2 linked regions of the Struthio camelus genome follow. The protein of the gene in region 2 interacts with the protein of the main gene of each other region in a pairwise test. Links are inferred from orthologs where the notes say so. Each region holds a gene or a part of one and is shown on either strand. Other genes may lie near its edges. The genes, in order: C2H5orf22 and WBP11.

Region 1 (8,484 bases), on a different chromosome or scaffold from region 2:
CGATCCTTACTATCAATATGCTATCTCTTTAAGCGCACAAAACGGCTCCCAAAGTTTCTTATTTATCCAACAAAAAAAGTAAGATATTGACTATTGATAGAATGACACAGCTACTTACGTACTAATTACATCATCCTTTGATTGCTGTGAATCACCATTCCATACTGAAGTAGTCAAGAGTCATTTTAAAATGGGAAGAGAAAGACAATAAAGGTCACTCTGTGCCTTGTTACCTTCTTCAGAAGTTGGGGTAAAATATTGGTCCTCATGATATTAATGAGAAAATCTTGTTCAACTTCACACATTCAGCATGTCACCACAGATGATGCTATTGCAACCTCAAAGCAGATTTTTCAGACTGAGGACAGAAAGGCTGTTCTAAACCTACAGCTCTTCAGATCAAAAGGATCAGCACTTAGGAGTACTGTCCTGTTATCCAGAGAAATAACCTGGCCTAATAACACGACATACTACTAAACAACTAAAAGTAAATTCGCAAGTCTCAGGTTTTCTTGATATGCAACATAAATATTTGACCACACTCATAAAGCACACACATAACTTCCTCCCCACAAAAAAACCAAAGTGTTCAGCAAAAGTGAAAGGATGGAAGACACAACTTGGGGCTGCTTTACACCTGCTGTATGAAAAGTTAAACGAATACGGACTGTAAATCAAAGGTAGCAAGAAGTGGACTTCAGGTATTCTGATGCAGTACACAGGACTTTACCTAAAAAGAGCTTCTTTGTCAAATACGGTGTCTGCTGGCATATTTACGGGAATAAGGAGGTCTGGATGGGAGTCAAGATGAACAAAGCTGATGTTACTGGCAGGAAGGTGCTTTGAACCAATGGCGCGATAGATGAAAGGCAGAACCTAAAACAATACGAACAAAAATATTTCAGTTATAACCAGCAAGCTGAAAAACGCAATGACGTTAATAGCAAAAATACCAGCCCCTCTCCTCTTTGCTTCTTTTGAATTTGGATTATTTCTTGGGAGAAGGAGAAGGAGACTGAAAACAAAGGGATACCACTCCAACAGCAAGACAGCCGAAGAACCGTGAATCACTATGAACCCAAGAGTTTCATACATGGCCAGTTGCTGCAGAATCATAGCTTTACTCTTTCTTTTCTTCCTTATAGGAAGTCTTGTTTGTAGTAGCTCTTCTGATTAATAATTTAATACACTGCCTAGTTTTTTTCTTTTCAACTGATCCCCAGAAATGCCGTCTCTCTTCCGCTGAAGATTACCCCCTACACTTCCTTTTCCATGCTATAAAGCTTAGCCACAACCTATGCATGGGGCTGCGGAGATACAAACTTCTGAAGCCCCACTAACAAAATGTTAACTGATACAGGGTGAAAACTGACCCGGCTACCATTTAAGCTTTAGCTGATCTTTAAACCTATTCCTCTGGAGAAAAAGTTTAATTCCCAATCCCTGCAGGACTTAGCGGCTGCAATGAAAAGACTACCTTCCCCAGCTGCCCACTTAAAAGTGAGAAAAGCAGATGGGTAGATGTGTCAATTTACGGCATAACAAAGCACTGATGTGCAATACTGTCAAGTGGGATGAGACAACTGAAGGCTAATTCACGATCCTTCTTACACTGAGCTGCAGTAGACGGAGCTTCTCCCACAGTTACAGGCCGGTAACTGCCTTAGCTGCCAGAACAAATCTAGCAAGAATTGTGAACCAGATCGCTACTATACAGGGAGCATGAAAACTATAAAAAGACTGGGCAATATAAGCTACACGGGATCTCTGTATTTAAATGCAAACTGAGCTACTTTTTAAGCATAAAACTGATTAAGATCACAAATCCTGAATAGTGAGTGTACATAACCATAAAATCTGACACTTAGTTGAAATTTGGATTGTATTTCACCAGACCGGCTATAAATTCTCAGTTTTCCCACTACTTATGCAATGATATATATCCTACTGTAATAATAGATAAAAATAAGGTTGAAAATAACAGTGATTCTCTGATCTATGATTTCCAGTTCTTCACAAAAGGCAAATGGCCTACCTGTACAACCTACAATGTTGACAGGTGAAATTAGTTTAATCTCATGGAAGTGTTAGCGCAAATTCTGAAAACAGAGCAGGATGAGGGAGGAGACAAAAGCCTAGAGTCCCTTACATTGCAAGTTCTGCTGCTTTGGGTTGAGAACAAAATTCCCTTCCCGCTAGCTGTTATTATTAATCAAAGCATGGTGCCTCTAGTGTCATCTACCCCCAGAGAAACTTCAACGTCAGTAATTCATCTGGACTATACATAGTTTCTGGGAAGTTCTTACGCTTTGAGGTAAAAGCCTATACACGTTTTATATAAGACAGATCAATGTATATACATACATATATTGAAAGTACAGCATATATATTTGGTAGGAAGAGTCTTTGTTAACCTAATTCAAAAGAGAAGTACTGAAAGCAAAATAAAGAAGAATTATTAACAGACATTATCTCAGTACTTCTATTACAGTGACACTCTTAGTCCGTGGTTACTGCAGAAAACCAGCCACCACAGCATCAACCATTTCAGCGAGTCTTGGCAAAAATAATCCTCATTAAATTATCTACTTTCAAGTTCAGAATAACGTTTCCCTTAATAAACTGTATCACGCTAGTGCTTTTGCAAAACAGCAATAGAGTTAATGCTTTTCATTTTTTTCTCCACCAGTTCTTTATGCCCCAGAAATGCTTGCTGAAATTAGTGGGCTTTTGTGCCTTTGGGTAAAGAATTTGCTTACTTTGGATTACAGCCTCAACTTGTGCTATAATAAAGAAACTCTCTGAGAAACCAGAAACAGCACTTCAAAAGCAATCCTTTGCAAAGGATTGCCTTTTTAAACTAGCTATCATTAAAAACAAGCAAACAAATAATATAAAGCACCAAATTTGACATCTCTCAGCTACTGACAGTCAATGTGCTGGTTAGAGTGTGCCTCATACGTTGCGTAGGCCTGAGTTTCTAAGCAGTACGCTAGGACCTAGCTAATTCCAGAAGCAGTAAAACGTGGGTGTTATTTTCTTTTAAACACAGAAACCATGGGGGAAAAAAAAAAAAAAAGAGAAAGAGAGTGAAATAACTACTTAAAACCCCACCAGCCTGCCCTAATGGCACCAGCTACATGCATCACTGGATCACGACGGGGCTCCACATCATCTGGACACTGAACTTCACTCGTGTGCCACTAGCCAGACCGGCCCGAGGAGGCTGGTTTTCGCGCCCCCAGGGCAGCGGGCACGGCTGGAAGAAGAAACCGAGAAAGACAGAAAAGGGTTTGTTTTTTTTTTTAACCCCCCCAAATACCCACGGCCCAGAGAAAGGCCGCGACCCGCCTCTCCCCTGCCGCTACTACCCGAGGGGCGGCCGGGCCGGGCCGGGCCGGGACCCCGGCGGGGGGGATGGTGGTGGGGCCCCGGGAGGCGGCTGCACCCGCTGAAGTGACGGGCCTGGGGCTGGGCCGGGCGCGCCGCGCACTCACTCACATCCTGGTGGTCCTCCACCACCCACACCGGCAGCACCGGGTAGGCCCTCCGGCCGGCCCCGGCGGGGCGCTCCCCGGGCGGGCGGCCCCCACCGCTCATGTCACGGCGGCCCGGCTCCCTCCGGGTGGCGGCGGCGGCTTCCGCCCGCGGCGCCCCGCCCCGCGCCTTCCTCTTCCGGAGCCGGCGCGGGCGGCGGCGGCGGCGGCGGCGGGGCAGCAGGTGGGCTGCGCGGGTGCGTGCCCCTCCCGGGCCGGGGCGAAGCAGCGCATCGACCGCCGCCGTGGCGACGTGGCCCCGCGGGCCGTTGTGATGGCGCAGCCCCGCTGGCCGAGGGGCGGCCGGGGCGCCGCGCGGGGCTCGGCGGCGGCTGGCGGTCGTTGCCGCTGCGGTGATCGCCGGCCGTGCGTAAACCTGCCCTTCCCGCGCGGGCGAAACTGGCGCCGTTTGAGGGCAGGCGGCGGGCGGTGCCGGCCCGGGCCGCCCTGAGGGCAGGGCCCCGTCGCGCCGGCCCTGCGCCGGGGCGGGTGTCCGCGCGTGTCCGTGTCCGTGTGGCGCAACGGGTTTCTCTTTGTGGGTGGAAGGAAGGGCATGACTCGTCATCGGTTTTTTCCCACTGAAGTTCAAAGCGAACCTGAACGCGGTGAAAAATTGCAGCAGCGGGAGCTTTAAAATAACCTGAAATAATTTTTTTTTTTTTTTTTTTGCCTTCCCTGCTGCCTTTGGCTCTGCGTTTCGGTGCGTTCTGAAGTGCTTGAACTGTGATCGCAGAAACCAGAGGAAACCTCTGAAGGTGCAGATAAGCTCGGAGAGAGCTGGTAAAGGAGACCTTTTGTTTGAATGCACTGGCACGTGTTAAGAAGAAACGTGCCTTACGTTAAGGCACCAGTACAGTACAGTACAGTGGGTTTCCCTTTACTTCATTCAAGGGGATAAAAGATTGGCTCAGCCTGTTTAAATAAAATTTGTATGTAAATGTCAGCAAAGCACAAAACAGTGTACTGGCAGAAGCCTGCGCTAGGTGAGTTATAACTGCTGACCTGAGGAAAAATGGTCCAGCGTTTAATGGACTAGAATTAAGGATGACAGAAAGTAGCGCTGCTGCCAGACAAACTCGTGAAGGTGTGGAGTAGATTTTTTTTTCCCTGTCATTTCTTTTTGAGACCCTTTAAAAGACCTGAGGGTACTGAACAGACCGGGGTTGCCTGGAAGGAATCAGTCAGTGGCTTTACATGTCTGCTACCTCCTAGAAACGTGTTGATCCGCCCTTATCCTGCTGGCCTTTGTTGTCCACTTGCTCAAACGAGGGAGGAAATGCCCCACCACCACTTCCAGTGGCTTCAACCAAGCCCTGAGCATGGGACGGGAGACTTGGGGTCCTCCTGGTACCTCTTCCTCAATGTGCATCCTTTCCCCCTGTTTCATTTCTTTTCCGTTTTTTCCCTTCGGTTCACTAGCAGAAGTCTGGCATCAGTCAGCAAGCTTCATCCTTTGCAGCGCTGGGACCAGAATGCAGCCAAAAGTAGTACTCTGAGCAGCCCACGTTTGCCGGGTTACAGGGTAGCAGGTGGGAGACTATTCCCTATGTGTACTTCTGCATCGGTAAAGCCACTGTAAAAAGGAGGCTTTGTTTTCTGTGTCTGGTGATCTTTCCGCATACGTGTTTATGTGTCTCTCTCTTATAGAGAACAGGATTTGACATTTGCAGCTGCAGGATCAACTGTTTTTTTCCCCCTCTCTCCCTCCCTTCCACCCAACATATCATTGTTGATGTTTTATTTTAAATATTTTTTCCTTTTTCCCAGTTTTTGAATTTTGAACATTTTAATGAAAAACTAATTTTAACTTCAATATGCCACAGCAGTTTTCATTTTTAAACTTTAATACCGTAGTACATTACATACAACACATGCTTTTGAGCAAGACTTCAGCCCGCTTAGAGCAGTGCCTATTGCCAGCAAGGTAACACGGCCAATTAGGTACTTCAGGAATTTTGAAAATGTTTGTTTATTGAAATTGGAACAAACCACAGTCCACGTACGTTTTTGTGGGTCACAGTAAATTTTTATGTACCTAACTTTAAAATATCTGTTGAATTCAGTCCTGTACGAAATTGGGACTTAACTGTGAATATAAATTCCCATTATCTTGTTTAAGATTTATGTGATTTTTTTTCACTGGACCAGGCAACTCACGATGGCATGTTAGTAAAGTTGTTCTACCTGAAGTTTAGAATAGTGTTCTAGGAAGAACTCCTTGATGTAAGACCTTGGATGACTCCTACCTTTGTTAAAATGAGCGATCTCTTTGGTGTGGGTGTCTGAAGACTTTATATTAAAGCATCCATGACCATGAGGGTATGGTCCCACCTGGATTCTGGATTAGAGGCAGGAGAGTGCATTAGTGGATTAGAGACTTAGGGGAATCTTGGGGGAATAATGACCTGTACTACAGCACTGAGGAGCACAAAGCTCACAATGAAAGCCAGTGGTCGTCATCTGCTGCTCCTATTAAAAGAAACTGCAGAAATCATAATTTAAGCACTTTGTGCATTTCCTGGAACTACTTCCAAAGAACCTCATAGAAAAACTTTGTGACACTGTACATTTATTTATTTTCTTCTTTAAAGGTGAGCCATGTCTTTCCATTCCGGACGAGGGTGTCCCCGCGGCCAGGGGGGACCAGGAGCACGAACTTCAACACAGACCTACCGACCTCAGAACCTACGGCAGCTTCACCCACAGCAGCCCTCTGTGCAATACCAGTATGACCAGCAAACGGCCCCTCCGACAACCTATTCAAACCCTCCAGCCACTGGTTACATGCCTCCCAGGCCAGACTTTGTGCCGTATCCTCCTCCAGTGCCCCCTTCCACACAGAGTCCCATCAGCCAGTGTCCCATGAGGCCACCTTTTCCAAACCATCAGATGAGGCAGGGTTTCCCAGTGCCTCCGTGCTTCCCTCCCGCTCCTCCACCAGTGCCAAATCCTAGCAATACTCCTGTGCCAGGAACTCCGACGGGGCAAAACACATTTCCTTACATGATGCCGCCCCCGACAGTACCGCATCCTCCCCCACCCCCAGTCATACCGCAGCAAGTCAACTACCAGCCTGTTTACTCCGCAGGGTATTCACAGCAGTCATTCCCCCCTCCGAACTTCAATAGCTATCAGCACAATTCCAGCTCTTTCCAGAGCAGCGCTACCAACAGCAGTGGCGGCAACAGCCATTTTCGGCACACGGGTCAGTACCAGGCAGAGAAGTCGCAAAGCGATCGACGGTCTCCAGAGAGGAGCAAGCATTACGACGAGCACCGGCATCGTGAGCATGGGCACCTCCACAGTGACAGGCATCGGTCGAATAACCATGGGGACCGGCGGGATCGAGGCCGGAGTCCAGACAGGAGGAGGCAAGAAAGCAGTCGGCACCGGACAGATTATGACAGAGGAAGAATATCACCTCACCATAGAAGTTATGAGCGTAGCAGGTAACTTGGCCTATCTTCTGCCTGCAGAGCGAGACGTGGTCTCCCTTCTACAGATTGGTTGAATCAGGTGTCCATCCCTCGGCCATGTTGTTTTCTCCTAGCTTAGGATGTAGTCAACGCTCAGGGCTTTTCCGGTCTTCCAGCTACGTTGTTTCTGCCCCATCTTTGCAGGCAGGTAAACTTGCTCCCCTTGTCCACTGAAGAAGCTGGAAGCGAGCCCGGAGTGGCTTGTTGAGTAGCACTCTGCTGTCAGTGGGGTTTACCACAGAAACTTAAGCAGTTGTGTTCTGAAAGCAGAGTAGGCACAAGTTTATGCAAAAGACTACGTTCAAAATCTCAGCCTTATAAATGGATAAGTCCTAGTATTTCAAAGTTCGAGATTTGGGTACCAGACTTGGAATACGGCTTGTTACTTGGGCACGGCCCTGCTTTGAGTAAGCCCCGCGTTTTGTAGATAGCCAGCATTCATTGGGGGGTTTACAGTCCGATAGATGCACAAGTCTGATTCCTGAAAACTGGCAATGAGTTTTCTAGTGAAAAGAATGTTGCAGAGTGTCCTTCATTCCGCTGCATCCATGTCTTCATGGGAGACCTGCGCAAGCGTGCGTGGGCTTCATGACACCTCCGTCCCAGTGGATGTGTAGACCTGCCTGTGTGATTCTGTTGAGGATGAAGACCTCAGCAAGGAGCCTGTGATCTGCAGAGGACTGAGGTGAAAATCAGCATGCAGTAGTCCAAATGAACAGAGAACTTGTAGGCTGTGTTGTCATCCTCTTATGACTCAGAGGGATGAATGTGAGCAGCTTATTTTGGGGTGTCTCATGAAGCTTCTGCCCCTCTGCCTCATAGATAAAAGCAGCTCATGAATCAAGAGTTGACCTGAGCAGTTTGCTGCATAGTGTTTTAGAGCAAACCATTGCCAGTTTTGTCTTCCTCATCTCTTTGATTTGCTCTCTCAATGCCTTTCTTTGTGACTAATGATTTAGGTCAGGATTTTCAAAATGAGATACCTGAAAGTTAAGAATCTAAATTTTTGCCAGTGCACCTAGATCACATGGTCTATTTGTAGAAGATCTGAGGTTTGCCACGTCACATGTGAAACATGGATTTACACTTAGTGTCTCTGGAAATGAAGCCACTTTGACTATCTATTCCAAATTTCTTGAAGGTCAGCAGTAAGAGTTTCTAGGCTTCTTTAAGTGTAGCAGTTGGCACACGTGTCATGTTGAACAATACTGGCAAATGATCTCATCCTGCTTCTGTGCTCCTTTCAGGTGTGAATTGTAAGAAATGCCACATTTCTTATTTAACCTATGTTTTAAATTCCTTAAGGGAGCGGGAGAGGGAGAGGCATAGGCACCGTGATAGCAGAAGATCACCATCACCAGACAGATCCTACAAAAAGGATTACAAGAGAACAGGAAGGTAAGGTGGTACATTTGGTCTTTCACATGCTTAAGAGGCTCGGTGCATGCACACGTGTGTACTTGTGCATGTAT
Region 2 (8,827 bases):
TCAAGGAGATGAGAAAAACGTCACAGAAGAGACAGAACCTTTGTATCAGACTTCTCTCTCCACACTCCCAGCCTGAAGAAAAAGGCATTTCAAAATGCCTTGCTTTTGATTGTACTGTGGCTAGTATTTGCAAAGGTAATTAAAACTACTTGGAGTTTTAATTCCACTCTATTTATAAATGCTTCCATAATTCATTCACTCCAATTAAGATGCACATAATCAGCAAGTTAAACCAAAGGGGTACAATAAAACATACCAACAAATATGTAAGGTTTTTCTAATTTCTAAGAACTTACAATAATGCTTTGAAAAGTCTTAATCATCTCAAGTCTTGGTCATCTCAAGTTAAATAGTAGATTAAAGAGATACTGTTACTCAAAATCGAATTTCTATTTTCTTCAAGTATTTGTTTAAATAGTATTTTCCAAAGTGAATCTTGCACAATCAACTGAAACATCTGCAGTCTACTCATCGGTCATGGCCCATTACTATTACAAACATGATGCACAGTACAGGGGATGCCAAATAAATGTTCCTGTTTGCTTTACTTACCTTCTTTAGTTCCCTTTTCCGAGCTTCCTTGCCTAGAGAGGGAGAAAAAAGGAAAACAAAATAACAACTTGAAAGAGACAATTGCGTCCATGAAGAACCTCTCCCTCAACAGGATTACTGCCTTATTTCTCAACAGCTGACTCTTTACACAAAAACATAAATAAACATTTTTATCTCATCTTCCCATTGAGAAAGCAATAAGGCTAGAAATAAAATTTTATATATAGAAAGAAAAAGATTGGAAATCTCCATGCCTTGTCTGTTTCTATATAGAAAAGAACTACAGACAGCAAGTCATAATGATATTTCCAGTCACGAAAGCATTGCTGCCCAGAAGCCGCCTGTAACAACAGACAATGAATTGCGCTTTAAAACAAAATACGCTTTGAATACACATCTGAAATAAAGCATATTCACAATGGCAGTCTGGGTACTCCTATCTGCTTGGTGTTGATAACAAGCCAAACACATTACCAGAAGAAAAAAACAGCATTAGATGATTTCCTCATCCAGCCAGAGTATTTACAAAATTCAACACATTCCTCAGATTCTAGCTTCAGACAGATTAACCATGCCACAATAAATTTGCAGTTTAGCTGACAGCTAAGTAAAAAGACTTTAGAATATTTATAACTAAAGCAAAAGCTAAGAGGTAAATACAGCACAGCAGCAACAGCATGCAAGCAAGCAGCTTTCTTGGGAATTTTTTTTATACCAGCCAAAATGAAGATAATATTTCTGAAATTTGAGGAAATCAGTTCATATTCACATATGAGGACTTTTCTTCTCAGATAAAGGTTTTTTTGTTCTGTTTTTAAATCTGTCACTCCAGGACCCCACATTCACATCCATTTAGCTTTTACAGATACTTACGGGCCTGATCTGTGGGATTCATGAACTTCCCACTCTTGGTGGATGATGTAGATCTCCGCCCCATTTTGACTTCTTTTCTTCTGTCTCCGAAAAAGAAAAAAAAAAAAGAAAGAGAGAGAGACCTGGAAAAGATAACAGTTTAATATCCTATGCAGCAATAGCTTGAGAATTATTATTCCTCCTCTCCAAATCAGTAGGTTACTCCCCCAAATACTTGTCAGCTCTTCAAATCCCAGTGCAACTTCAGGCATTTATAACAGAATCATCCTATTTTTAATCAACAATCACACAGTTTGTTATTCACTTCAAGAGTCAAGTCAAGAAGCTTCTGGCTTATGTCATTTGGGGAAAGGGTGGAGGGGAAATCACACGTACTATGCTTTTCTAAGAGCACATCAGAGACCTCGTTTTTCATTTACTCCCACAAGAGCTCTCCAGTTTTTCCCCTTTCCAATCCTCTCCATTTCATATGCTTCCCGCAAATTTCCTCCTTTCCTCACTCCTAAGCTGTCCACGATTCCTCTCCTCAGTACACACTGTATCCAGCAACAAGTATTCTGCACACATTCACATCTCTTTCTCCTCACTACAGACTACTGCCATGTTACTGCCCTTATGCTGTCTACCTCCATACATCCAGCAGTATCATTTTAAGCTATGTTAAGATGGGCAGAGAAAGGAAAAATTATTCTAGGAAGAGTTACTTTCTGTCCTCAAACAGTTTTTTAACTTACAGATGACTACAGGGATGTCATAGCTACAGCTGTGCATGCCCCCTTTCTCACAGTTCTAATCTGTATTTTCTTCCCCCTCAACGCAAAACACCACCACAAAAAAAAATACACAGCAGGTTCCACCCCCAAAATTAAAACATCCTCTGAGAACTTTGAGTTGATAGGATGCAGCTTTGGAGTCACCATACTGCACCTAAACAGGCAGTGTCCAAACACAGTGAAAGACTTCACAAGTTCAGTCCAAAGCTCTCGATACCCTTGCTGCAGCTTGCGCTACACGTTCTTCTCCTCTCATTGCAAAAGCTGCCACTTTCAAATCACTACTGATTCATGTACCTCCTCTCATCTACTATAAAGAAATTTAAGCGTAAATCTTATTCAGGATTTCAGCACCTCACAGAATAGATTCCTAACAAGCTCCAAGGACTGACTGCACTCAGTGCACTGATTAGCAGAAGTGCACAGAACTCACGGTTCATACTACCAGACTATGCAAACAGGCCAATTGTGAGCAACAGCACCCCACAATCTGTAATCGCCAATAATACATATTTCCTACTTACAAAAAAAATTACATTGATAGATTTTTTTGTAAGACGTTGCCATTTCTTTCGCTAGGAATGCTTAGAAGATAGATGTAGAGTTGCACATGCACGCTGCACCTCCCAGATTTCTAATATTCATAGAGGAGAGGAACAGAGAGGATAATAAACTTCTTAAATTTAAGTCCTCGATCCCAACTCCTTTAGGGCACAAACCAAAGAGGTTCAACACAACAAGTCAAGAGAGCACAGAATAACCCGGGGATGGGGGAAAATTTATGTTGATTGATCGCTAGGGAAGAGAGGCAGAAAGTGTCCCATGAGGAACACGACAGTCTCCTTCCCCCTCCCCCAATCGGGGGGGGGGGGTGGAAGGGGGAGAGAAGAGAGGGTAGTACCCTATGCCGCCTTCCCCTGCCCGCTTCACCTCCCCTCCCAGCGCCGCTCCTCTCACCCTGCGCCTGGCCGGGCCGCGCGGCTCCCTCCCGCCGCCGCCGCGGCCTCTATAACGGCCGCGCTTCTCGCTGCTGCGGCCGCGCCGCCATCTTGAACCGGGACCGAGTGGCGCGCCGCCGTAAAGCGCGACTGCCGTGCCGCGCCGCCCAGAACCGCGCTCCGGAAGTAGCAGCCTAGCGCGCCATTTCGGACTCTATGATTCCGCTCCTCTTCTCTTCCTCTATGGTTCGGCGGGCGGGCGGGGTGGGGTCGCGCGGCGGAGGGGACAGGCCCGCACCGCCCCGCGAGGGCGGGGCGGGGCGGGGCTCGGTGCGCCGCGCGCGGGCCCGGGGCCACGTGACCTGGGTGTCCGTTAGGCGCGGCCGTTGCCTCAGGGGCCTCAGGCAGGGGAGGCGCTCTAGCTCTGGGCGGGGGGAAGCGGGTCTCTCCCTGCCCCTGGGAGCCAGGGGGGGCAGCGAGGGCAGGCTGTGCGGCTGGAGGGGAGGGAAAGCTCAGGGAGGAGGTCATACCCTGACAGGGAATTATCTGAAAGAAAAAACTGGGGAGGCAGGAGGCACGGAAGGTGCTCGGGGTGGAGTGGGATTACAAAAACTGGGAGGTTAAAAAAAGAGAGGAGAAGGGTAGGGAAAGGTGTGCAGAGTGAGCCTGGGTGGTGTGATGTTCGGGCTGTAGCATCTGGGGTTACAGTTTAAACTGATGATGGTTTGACTGCTTTGGGAGGAAAAGGCAATATAAGTTTGAGCCTTTATGAGATTTTTTTCACTGTTTAATAGATGCTAGGCAGAGGTTATTTTCCCTCTGAGCAACAAATAGGCATGTTTCAATCTGTTTCAGTTTTTCCCTTGGTAAGCTCGTATGCTAGAAGGAAATGGCCATAAAAGAGGTAGAGTAGCATCTTCAGCAGTTCAGTGAATATTTCCCAGTCTTAGGAAGGAGAAGAACGTCAATTCTGTAAGACAAAATGTAAACCTCTGGGGGGAACTCTGGTACAGTCAGCTCCTTATAATTTCTCCGCCAATATTGCCAGTGCCGGAAATAATCCAGGTGTTACAGACATGGTGAATGGGATCTTCCAACTCTAAACAGGGCATTCCCCCCAGTGCTTGCTTGGGGAGATCCTACAAAATGTTGCCCTTTCCTGGAACAAAGTAGGATTGCAGGTCATGGGAGAAGCCTTTGTTTGTAGGGAATAGAAGCAAAGCCCAAAGGAGTTTGTGGTAATTCCAGATGTACTCAGGAAGCGGGGTTAGTGATCAGTGCATCTGCAGTAGGATGTTACATGGGTTTGTTTTTGTATTCGGCCTGAAGTGAACACTGCTCCACTGTGAGCGTTTATGCATGGCACGCCTCTTAGACTCATGTGACAACTCCTGCTTCAGGGGATGCTGGATCAAAAAAGTGGCTGAATGATATTCACCAGGTAACATGGGCTGTACGAAGAGATTAGGAGAGCTAGTTTCCCACCAGCAGAGAGCACAGGAGCTACTCTCCTTGCTTGCCTTTTCCTGCAGCCCCACCATGAAAGCCCCTAAAGCAAACTGGTGATCAGCTTTGCAGAAGCTGATGGACACTCTGCGGTAACTGTTTTCACTGCACAAAGTGTCTCTCCTCAAAAAGTCCCCAGATACAAGCACGCATGAAGGACCAGGATAAAAAAATACATGGAACATCTCCTTGGCTAATAGTTGTATCAGTGTGAATAAGAAGGGGGGAAGCAGCATAGTGTGAGTGCAGGCTAAAAGAATTAACACCCCAGGGGAGGGAGAGTCAGAAGGACGTTTTTCTGCACAGAGATGCACCTAGGAGCTAGTTGGGGAGGCTTGCACAGATGGTCTGATCTCTCAGTATGGGTGATGGATCCCCTGGTTGGGGTGGACGGGCAGTGTTACACCACAGTGTTAGGGCTTTTCAAATGATGAAGACTTGGTTGACAAACTTGGAACATTACTAAGAATCACTGCAGGGTGGATAAAAGCAAGACTATGAACTAAGCATCATGTTGACACCAATATTAGTCACAAACTATACAATACCTAAGGTAGCAGATGGCCAGTCCAGCAGCATCTACAGAGCCAGGGTTCTGAGAGCTCCCAGTGCCCGGGAAGTCCTGCTCACCATGTACGTAACACCTTTTGGGCAGGTTCTTTTGTATTGTTCTTGTTACTGCGTAGAATTAGCTGCAGGGCAGATTTTGATTGCAGCAATCCACTGTTTCTACACAGGTGTGAAAACAGTTTACACTGCTTTGGGCTGCTTTGTGGTTCCTTTTCTTCTTTGAGCTTGTTCTTATTTAAAAACTATGATATACAGTTTTAATTTTTAATCCTCTGTTCACAACAAATGACTGAGCAGAGGGAGAGCGCTTGAGGGGCTGTGATGGGAACCTTATGGCCATGCACGTCAAATCTTTGTCCGGTACATGAAAGGAGTGCGATATCATTAGAGAGGGAGGTACCAATGCTTTGCAAATTGCCTATTCCTCATGGGCTGGGCCTGTTGTCATGACAGTACTGGGCTGAGGGGTGGGGGGGGGAATGTGTTAGTGCAGCAGCCCTAACTTAGATTTCTCCCAGCGGTCTTTGCTGACTTGGAGCTCAGCAGGAGCTAGATTACAAAGGATGTCAAGCACAGGCATCTCCAAGCACCTCAAGTGACGAGCTGGGTTCAGGGCAGCTCCATGTCAAAAGCCACAAAAGTTGCACATGGGCAGTGTAGTGCCCTACTCACAAGTACTCAGTTGTTGGAGATAAATTTCTGGACCTGATATATCCACACCAAACACATACTTGGTCATGTATATAGATGTCCTGTAAGAAATGCTGCCAAACAGCTACTAGAGGAGAAATATGGTCCAGCCCGTGTAATTCCCATGCAACCTGTGTCCACATTACAATAGCCCTCTCAGATTTCACTTGGCATGAATGTACTTTTGTCACTCCAAGAGGTAGCACCAGCAGGTCTAGAGTAGAGGCATGAGCAGTTTGGCCCCAAACTGGCTATGGCATCTGGCAAGAGAGAGCAGATAATCATTTCCTATTTTGAGGGGCAGTATTTCAGTTACCTATCAGACACAGAGCAAGCTAGGCTGTTTCTGCTCTGCTGGACGCTCTGCCTTGCATTTAGCCAGTTGAATGCATGCTGCACTGAGTTCAAGAACCAATAACTAATGACAAGGAATACATAACTGTCAGTAATACAGGCAAATCCCAGACAATTTCTTATTCCTGGAGTTGAGGGAAAGAGTTTGGGAAGGTTCCAGGCTGATCTGCAGGTTTCTTACCTCGAAACAGCCTTGTCTGGCTGTAGCCTCTGTGAGGTCACGACCCTGTCCTAGCTCATAGAGATGCTGGCCAGGCCTCTGTGAGGTCATGGCCTCCTGCTCTATAAGCAGGAGCCTGCGGGCTGCCAACGTCCTCAGCATCTTTAACATCTTGTGGACATGAGGACACCTTCCACATCTGCTTTCTCAAGGAACCCCTCTTTCCGTTGAGCCCACCAGCAACAAGGATCTCCCAGGAGGTGGATGGCAACTGTATATCTTTACGTACTTTGTTGCGTATGCCCATCGCCCGACATGGCTTAGAATTTGCTTTAAAGAAAATGTGGACAAACTGCCTGAGAAATATGATAGATGTCCCTTTGTTCGACTCCAATATTCTCCTACAACAGTGATTGGCAGCTTCACAAAGGTATGTACTGAGCTGGCGTTTCTTCTTCCTAAATTAGAATGTACAGATGCCCATCGAAAAAGAGCACAAGCTGGGACTTCCTGGTTCTCCAAAACCCAAAATGTTACTGATCTGCTGATTGGCAGTGTCTTGCCTCTGAGCAAGTGATAACCCCCTGTTTCTACTGAGTGCCACACTTACAAGGAGCTAGGAAAAGCTGTATCTGAGAGAAACAAGAGGCTTCAGGTCACCATGTCACCGGAATACCTTGTGCCTAGGCAGGGCAGCGCTTTTTGCCTCTCCAGACCCACCTCACCCAGGCTGCGGCTTGTGTTTGCCCCACTTGTCAGGCCAGCAGTGCCATCGCTGGCACTCACCCAAGCTCCCGAGCCAGGGCTTCTTCCCTGATGGCTGCCAGAGCTGCTTACCAGCCATGGGCTGCAAATGAGAATAAAAGCAAAGAGGGGCCTGAAGAAATGATTAAAAGTGGGAAAAATGGGGGGAAAAAATGAAAGGGTTAAGAAGAGAATGAACAGCTTTTCTGTTATAACTCACCTATCTGTTTACTTTCATAGGCACAATCTAGTTATTATCATCATCATTTAATATTGCTAATACTGCTAATATTAATAAACATGTGTGAATTTGAATATGCTTTTAGTGTGGGGGAGGCTGGTACTAAAACTGTACCTATGCACAGGCCTACTATAATAACCTGTCCTGGGTAGGAATAGTAATTTTTAAATTGCATCTTTAATGAAGATTTTAATATTTTTTCTTTGTAAGTACACCATATGATTTGGCTTCAGATTGATGTCTGAGACAGAACAAAAAAAGTAGAACAAGTACAGGTAGGAGAGCTCTTACAATGTTTAGATGAATTTTTTTTATTAATTTTTAAATTAACTTTTTTCTTCAAAGAACAAAGCAAAAAAGCAAACCACAGTAAATCAGAGAAAGAGACTACAAATCATGTTCTTGCTTCTAGCTTTTTGTTTTTAAAATCAACTGCATAAGGACTTTTGCTAACATGTTGTGAAATGCAGGATTTGAGTATGCTCTTGGCACAAGGTGGCTTGTGAAGCACTTGAAAATAAATTCAACAGCATGTCTGTGATCTAGAGCTATGATCCTGCAAATACTTGCACACGTGTATAATCCCATTTCAACTAACAGCATAGCAAACGTGCCCAGAACTAAGTACCTGTGGGTTGGCAGGAGCAGGGCGTTACTGAGCATAAGAGATTATACACAGACAGCTGGAACCTAGCTCACTGGAGCTGATTTCTCTCAGTTGTGGGGCAGGGTCGTGTTTGTTTGTCTGCAGGCACATGATTTTCCTGCCTGCTAATCTACTAAGATTAGAATTTATTTAAAGAAGATCTCTGGCAGACCCCTTGGGACAAGAATAGGACAGGAAATAGCAGTTAAATATGCTTCAGCAAATCCTTAAGAGCACTTCTGTGAAAGGGGAATTCAGCATATCAGAATTAGTGCTAATCCACACTAAGCAAGTTTAGCCAGTACAGCTGTTCCCAATGAACCCTCCAGATGATGATGTGGGTTTGTTTGTTGAAATCGTTTTCTCCCATCATGATGTCACCTTTGCTGTAGAAACACAATAAGAAGAAGATTGTGCTTTCTAGCCACTACTGCTCCAGCAGTGAAATTATTGTCATTAGTACTAGTTATGTTTCAGGGTTGTTAACTACAATGCCTTCCAGAAAACTGCTGAACAAAAAAGCTGGCAAGTATTTGAACTATTGCCTTGCAGAAGTACCCTTAAGCCAATTCCTTATTGATATATTTATGTTCTAGTTCCCTTGTCTGTCACATCTCTTGTTCTGTTGCCACTAGAAAGGAAAAAATACCTCTACAGTGGGGGAAAAAAAATCATTTTACCATAATGAATCAAAAAAGTTTAGCAGACGCAGCTGCTGCAGTCGCTGTCATGGCAGGAGCGAGCATTCATTGAGCCTGATGTCTCACTAGGGAAGTCACT

The links.
Region 1: the proteins of WBP11 (region 2) and C2H5orf22 interact in binary tests that used the Homo sapiens proteins (3 or more experiments, as listed by UniProt). The two-hybrid records come from large-scale screens. The link is inferred for Struthio camelus from reciprocal best matches to the Homo sapiens genes WBP11 and C5orf22.

What each region holds. Positions count from the first base shown.
Region 1 is NC_090943.1:91,264,139-91,272,622, reverse strand, and holds the start of C2H5orf22 (UPF0489 protein C5orf22 homolog), read right to left. Parts: upstream 3,651-8,484; 5' UTR 3,601-3,650; coding exon 3,502-3,600; exon of another isoform or gene 3,498-3,501; intron 3,260-3,497; exon of another isoform or gene 3,103-3,259; intron 877-3,102; coding exon 731-876; intron 1-730. Other genes in the region: DROSHA (ribonuclease 3), read left to right, coding at 6,135-6,985, 8,318-8,410.
Region 2 is NC_090942.1:54,901,368-54,910,194, reverse strand, and holds the start of WBP11 (WW domain-binding protein 11), read right to left. Parts: upstream 3,465-8,827; 5' UTR 3,156-3,464; intron 1,548-3,155; 5' UTR 1,490-1,547; coding exon 1,426-1,489; intron 585-1,425; coding exon 553-584; intron 1-552. Other genes in the region: SMCO3 (single-pass membrane and coiled-coil domain-containing protein 3), read right to left, coding at 8,794-8,827. UniProt on the Homo sapiens protein: Activates pre-mRNA splicing. May inhibit PP1 phosphatase activity.